Linked DNA regions of Drosophila melanogaster. The protein of the gene in region 1 interacts with the protein of each later gene in a pairwise test. Each region holds a gene or a part of one and is shown in the gene's direction. Other genes may lie near its edges.

Region 1 (3,908 bases):
CTTCTTATGCCAAAACGCCAAAATGCCAAATCAAATAGCCCACAATGCACATCCTGTTCGCAGGAGGCTTGCGGCAGCGAATAATCGATAAATCTGTTTTTAATACGCAACTTGTATCCATTCGCACAAGTTACACTTGCATCTGGGTGGGTGGTGCGTGGGTGTGCTCGCCAGTGTGTGATAAGAGAATCCTTTGTGTTTGTTCACCGGAATGTGCTTAGCAATAAGATTTATTTAAAAGACTACATTTAGGCGGTACCGAGTACGGCGGAGATATCTAAATGATCTGTAAATGGATGAAATACGGCATATGCAAAGTGAATTGTGATTAAACCAAATACATCTAGACACACGTGTGTGTGGCACTGTGTGCAAGCTGAAAAATGCAGCAAACAATGCACCCAGTGATTGCAGTAATGGATTCCAGCTACTGTAAACACCTGGGAAATGTCAGAGGCGTCTGAATGGCCCCAAAATAGTATTGAGTATTGTATTCGTCCATGGAGGATTGTAGTTATACATGCATACTTATGTGCGGCATTATAAACCGCTTACAGTACAGTTACATACGGATACATATAGTACACATAGTCAGTACCTAAACAAGTTTGTGTGTACAGTTTGGATGTTTGTTTTACAAGTAATACGTTGTTTATACATTGTTACTAGGTGTAGTTATTAACAACAAATCTGCTGACTAGTCGTCGCCACTCGCGTATATCATGAACCAATGGGAACACAAGGGTGCGGAGGATTCCACCCTATCCGCCCCATCGACGAGGGACCGCGAGATGCTCGATATCTTATCCGACCTACCCGATTTTAAATAAACATATTCGTCTACGTAGTTCGATTGATTGAGCGCACTTACACTTACCTACTCTACTGAATCGAAGGATCGTGGCCCATGGACTACACGTAGTCTAGGGAAACCCAAATTAACTCTCTAAGTGTGCGTATGTGTGTCATGTACTTGTAACTAATTGAATTTCAATTCAAATTGAATTATTGACAATTGTATTAGCCAGTTAAAATAAACCACAATGCGTCCCAGGCATCGGTGTTTGAAAATGTTTGATTCCCCTGCATAATGGATTCTGTTTCGTTTCGCATTCCGTTTCCATCGGCGCACCGAGGCATCGCACTACGGGTCCATGGGACCACGGGATCCGCACTCGGATCCGAATCGCCCTGCCCACCGGCGGCTGCCAGCCTGGAAAATGGCACAGTGAGCAGTTTGCACTAAATCAATTAAAACTAGTGCAGCACCGACCGCAGCATCCATTAAAAGTAACTAATGGAATTTCATTCGAATTATATATTGCGATTCCCATAAATTCTGCAATTGCGTAAATGCCGATTGCCGGCTTAAAGCAGCCGTGCTGCTGCTGATTTGAAATTTGCATATTTATATGGGGGGTGTGGTGTTGGATTTCGGAATGGGGCATCTGGGGGCTTGCGAGGAGCCAGCCGCTTTGGCGTTCGCGGCAAACAATAAACAGCTTTGCTAATGAGATTGCATTATGCGCAATTCAGAATGCAATTTACTGTGGCATTGATTTTGCATTAAATTGGCTTAGGCCGAGCGCTCCGCTTGGATCGGAAAAGTGCGGGAAACCCCAATTTGCTGCTGGCACGTCTGAGCTTAGAATTATGTTCTTAGAACGACTTAATGCAAATTTCAAATTCAAATTGCAACGGAAGTGCGGCGCCACCTGGCGGTTACCACGAGCGCGTTCAGGCGGCGCCCTCTTGCGGAAATCTCGCAAGTGAAACAGCTGTTTCCAGCTGCTGGTTTTTTTTAGCACATTTATCCATGCAGCGGCGTTGTTTTGGAATGGCCATGAAATATATTGGTAACTTGAGAGAAATTAACTCCTGCAGGCTTGACTAGCTAACACCTGGCAATGCTCCACAGACATTGGGGCCAACCTGACGGACCCCATGTTCCAGGGCTGCTACGGCGGAACCCAGAAGCACGAGCCCGACCTGCACATCGTCTTGGAGCGCGCGTGGCAACAGGGACTGCAGAAAGTCATCGTTACCGCCGGCTGCCTGAAGGATGTGGATGAGGCACTGGAACTGGCCTCCAAGGATGGTAAGCTGACCTTTAGGATGTTCCCTTTGCAAATTGTGCTTTAAATTGGGAGTCCCCATTGCACGTCCCTTTTAAATTACTTTCTGATTGAGCTACTCACTTTCTGAAGAGCATCTGATGTTTATTCCATCAATTTTCATAGTAATACGAATATGTTGCTTACTCCCCATACCGCGATTTTATTGTACACTCTCAATTCACAAGTGGTTTTCCTCGACAGAGCGCATCTACACGACAGTGGGAACACATCCCACCCGGTGCGAGGAATTCGTACCAGACCCAGAGGGCTACTATGACCAGTTGCGATCCAGGATCAAGGCAAATCGAACCAAGGTGCGGGCCGTAGGAGAATGTGGTCTAGACTACGATCGCTTGCACTTCTGCGCCCAGGAAACCCAGCGTCTGTACTTCGAGAAGCAGCTGGACCTAGCGGCCGAGTTCAAACTGCCTCTCTTTCTGCACATGAGAAATGCTGCCGAGGACTTCATGGGCATCCTGGAAAGAAATCGGAACAAGATCGAGGAGTGCGGCGGCGGAGTGGTGCACAGCTTTACAGGAACTTTGGAGGAGGCCCAGCGCATCCTCGCCTTCGGCGGTCTCTACATAGGCTTCAATGGGTGCTCCCTAAAGACGGATGAAAACGCAGAAGTGGTGCGCAAGCTACCCAACGACAGGATAATGCTAGAAACCGACTGCCCGTGGTGTGGTATTCGACCCTCGCATGCTGGACACAAGCACGTGACCACCAAGTTTCCCACCGTCAAGAAGAAAGAGAAATGGACAGCTGAATCCCTAATAGACGGACGCTGTGAGCCTTGCCAAATCAGGTACTCATTGTTAATACCTTACCCCCAAATGTGCAGACGATACTAACAGTTTGTCTTCCGTTTTAGCCAAGTTTTGGAGTCTATTGCCGGAATCAAACAAGAGCCTAAAGAACAGCTGGCTGCGTTATACTACCAAAACACATTGGACTTGTTCTTCGGCACAGGAGAGAGTAAAGAATAAAACAACATGCATTTACATTCAATGCGTTTACATTTATTTTATTATTGTTTCTCGCGTCTAAATGCAAATGAATTCAAAAATACGCATTACAACTTTGATTTGTTAGGTTACATCTGGTTTGGTTTCTTCGATCTGCAGTTAACACAGATCCACTAGGATTTAGGATTAACATTTAGATGTGTAAATAATTGTTGCATATGGCTCAGTTTATTAACGTTCGTGATTACGCACTGCTATGTGGTGAATATAAAATGGATCGCCCAAAAAAATATATGTATTTCTTTCGACTCGAACTTGTATAATCTCTCTGGAGTCTATTCTAAACTCTAATAGAGTGTCATAGCTTAATTATTGCCACGTTTTTGGTTACGAGTTTGCCAATATTCATCAATTATTGGTGAAGCCTTGAAAAGCCTATATACAAAATATTTTGTAAATATTTAAAAAGTCTATCAACTATAATTAGTACGCTTGTAGGTATTAAAAGGTTCGAATTCGGGGGATAGGAAATATGTTTACCTTATGTTTACCGTTGAAGTTAAAGTGTAAAACAACCAAAATCTGGAGCTAAAAATTGAATTTTGTTCTAAGTTTGATGAACTGATATGAATACAAATGATATTGTTAGTATTTAACATTGTCAGACGGGCAATGTCTATTCACTCGGGGATGCATTTAAAATGGCAATAAAAGATTCAGTCCAATGGAAATGATATGATATGAACATGTTCATATAGCACTTTAAGTCGGTGCGAAATATTCTGGGGAAGACTGATCTCCCACGTTCCCCTTTCCGCTTGGC
Region 2 (3,443 bases), on another chromosome or scaffold:
TCTCCATTTTATATTATTTTTGTTCTTTCATAAAAAAATAATTTGAAATTATACTTTTACTAGCTTGCTTTCGCAGCAGCATCACTGATAACGGTGCAAGTGCTTTCCTCGCTCTCTCTGTCACCGCTGAGCGAGAGCGTACTCGCACTCATTCATTATTTTTCATCTATTTATTCATAAATGCATTTTTTGCCCCTGCTATTTTCAGCGGCTCAAGAGTTTTAATTTTAGAAAGCACTGCTCCCTACTTTTCGTCTTTTTCTCCCGTAATATTTATGCAACATGCAATGCTGCTTTATTTATCTCTGTGGGAAAGAAAGCGTGGCATGTTTTTTGCGGTGTGTGGTGTCTTCTTGTTATTCCTGCGTGGGAGCGTCAGGTTCCAAGTTCGTTTCCCTAATTTTTTCTTTTGGTCCACAGATGGAAGGTTGGTCTAAAATGTGGAGTGACTCATAAAGGCTATAAATAGGCAAATTGATATTGTCTAAAGCTGGCGGTTAATGATTATTGATTGCTGACGTAGACGTCGATAGCATTTGTTGATTGTCAATTGGTTTTCCCCGATGACGAACGATTTTTGAGTCTATGATTTATTGGACTGCAGCTGCTCTGCTCCGCTCTCTCTTTTGAGCTCTGCTCCGCTCTCGCTCCTTTGATAAGCCCGCATATGCTTATGTGTGTGTGTGTGGTGAGGTCAGCGCATCAATTATGCTCATTTCTTGTCTTTTTCTTTGATAAAATCAGCGAACAACAAATGGGAAAGGGCGGGGGCAGGGCCCCGGCCAGACGGCGGCGCCCGAGATTTTTGGCAAATCAAAGCAGTCAGCTGTCCCCTTTGCTCATAATTAAGCAATGGGGAGCAGTGAAAGTGTGTCGACTACTAATTGGCACCTTGAATAATTGCACACCGATAAATAAAGTAGTGGCTTCCTTTTTCCTCTCAAGACAAAAGGGCGTCGCACTGCACTTACACACATACATGTACACCGCTCTCCCCTTCTTATCTCCAGTCTCTATACTTCTAACGCTGATTTTCAGCCGATTTTAAGCCACTTGCAACGTCAACAATTTTCACAACATTTCACATTTACAATGCAGTCTTTCTTTTCCTTCTTCTTTTCTTTTTGTTGGAAACGCATCCGCCATTTGCAAGCCACTTGTGTATGTGTGCCGGAGCGCTGCGCCTGTTTGAGTGTGTGTGTGTGTTGGGTTGTCGCGTCGACAGTTTTTTCATCACTTTGCTTGGATTTAGATACGCTTTATCAAACCAGTTCTTACTTGCAACTGTTAAACTTTTTCTCAACTTTCTTATGCCTTTCGGCTGCGGACTTACACTTTTTCGTTAGTGGGAAAATTGAAACATTTGCAAACAGAGTGACCGTGGCGACATACTCCAAAAATCGCGCCAGTCACATAATAGTCCTAAATTTGGACAACTAGCGATGACTCAAGCCGCCGGATAAATGCGCTATGTTTTTGTAGCCGAGACACGCTACGTGGGGAGAGCGATGTTTTTATCGTGGACACAAACCAAATTGAAATTCTTCACCGAAGATTTTATCGCGACTGTGCCATGGTCGCACTGATTAGCTCACCGAAACGTTCATTGAATTTGTTTTGATTATCTCGAAATAACAAGCTATTTTCTCAATTTTCCTGACAAAAATGACATCGATTGCCAAGTCCATAGTACTATTGGCATCCCTGGCCACGTTCGCTTACTCCCTGTACGTGGTTGGCAGCCTGATGATGTTCCTTTCGACGCCTCGTTCGATTTCCAAGGCGCACACCTGGATTTTCAATTTACTGGACAACAAGTCGCGCCTGCAGACCGCCTATGGACCCGTGGTGTTCGATACCCTCTACCTGATCGGATTCATCTTCCAGCACAGCTTCCTCAAGTCAGCCGTGGTCAAGAAGCTGTTGGCCAAGTTGGGATTGTCGGGTGCGGAGCGCACTATTTATAGCCTGACGTCATCGCTTTGTTTACATGTTTGTATACCCACAAATTGGACAGAAATAGCTCCCAACTGCAACTTTGGACATTTCAGTATTTGATCGTCAACTGGCTGCCCGCTCAGTCGATTGTTCTGTGGCAAATCGATGTGGAGCAGAGTGCTCCGCTTTGGTGGACCTTCGTGATCACCCATGGCATCTGCTGGGTTGTCATCTTTGGCGGCAGTTTGGTGATGGATCTGCCAGAGCTGCTGGGCGTCAAGCAAGCCTACTACGATCTGAAGGCCTACGGACCGCCCATCAGCTACAAATCCGGGGAATTGCGCAATCTGTACGCCCATGTCAGACATCCCTCGTTTGTGGGCCTGTCGGTCATCCTGTTCGCCACGAATGTGATGAGCGTGGATCGGCTAGTCATGGCCTTGCTGCTGACCACCTACATGTACCTGGCCTGGTCCACAGATCAGAAGGATGTGGCCTATCAGAAGATTCAACTGCAGCGCAAGAAACTCGAACTGAAGGCCAAGTAAACTTAATCTCAAAAGTGTTCTTACTAAGATCTAGTTGTAAGTTGACATGAGTTTGTATTGAATAATACTTTTCTAACAATTTCAGTTTCCGAATCAGAACGAAACAAATAATGAAAAAACTAAAAGATATATAAAAATATATATGGTTCAGTTTTTACTATTTTACTACTATTGCTAGCTTAATTAATTATTTTAAAATTTAACTCATTCTTACGATAGAAGGATCAAAGGGCTGTCCTTTAAACGGCGAACCTTCGGCATCCCAGGCAGCTTTCAGGCGATCCAGGTTTATAGCTTGGTCGGGACTTGAGGTCTGAATTTCATTTTGTTGCTTGTCTGCTGCCAACTGCTGGACCCTAAGCTTTTCTATGGTGGCCTGGGTTTCCTCCGGCAAATCATCTATATAGCGTTCGCATTCAATCTTCTTGGAATCGATTTCTGGATCACCTTCGAAGAGCCGATCCCACCAGAGCTCCTTTGCTTTATCTACAGTTATATACAGTTTATGAAAATGGTTTATAAAGATGTTTTAGGTGAATGCCCACCGTAACTTATGATCAATCGGTTCTGATCAATTGTCCACACCGCCTCCTTGTGTTTAATCCGCTGGCTCAGGTTTCCCTCGAGGATGATCGTCTCTGGGCTATGCTTGCTGCTCACTTTGATGTGCTGGGCCTGAATTGAAATGTGCAGCTTCTTCGCCGTTTGATGATCCTTGGGAAGCAGAGCCTGCACCTCCACATCCTTGAGGGTTTGTGACCAGCAGTGCGTTTCGAACACATCTCCGTTTTTGTAGTCGCTGGGGGAGAACTTTGACTGCTCCTTCCCTTTTTGTGGCGGCTGGCTCTCTATGGGTTTCATTTCCTCGTCCTGAGGACCATCTTCGCTTTCCAGGACCACTTCTTCGACGGCAGGCGGAGCCGTTTCTCCATCATCTGCACCGCCTTCCGCGGTCAG

The links.
Region 2: the proteins of CG3358 (region 1) and CG7655 interact in a two-hybrid assay, tested with the Drosophila melanogaster proteins (one large-scale study listed by BioGRID).

What each region holds. Positions count from the first base shown.
Region 1 is NT_033778.4:6,921,562-6,925,469, forward strand, and holds CG3358 (uncharacterized protein), read left to right. Parts: upstream 1-1,804; 5' UTR 1,805-1,856; intron 1,857-1,884; exon of another isoform or gene 1,885-1,918; 5' UTR 1,919-1,944; coding exon 1,945-2,098; intron 2,099-2,318; coding exon 2,319-2,925; intron 2,926-2,991; coding exon 2,992-3,106; 3' UTR 3,107-3,368; downstream 3,369-3,908.
Region 2 is NT_033777.3:17,681,124-17,684,566, forward strand, and holds CG7655 (uncharacterized protein), read left to right. Parts: upstream 1-1,545; 5' UTR 1,546-1,665; coding exon 1,666-1,992; intron 1,993-2,051; coding exon 2,052-2,486; 3' UTR 2,487-2,650; downstream 2,651-3,443. Other genes in the region: CG31251 (uncharacterized protein), read right to left, coding at 2,686-2,972, 3,032-3,443.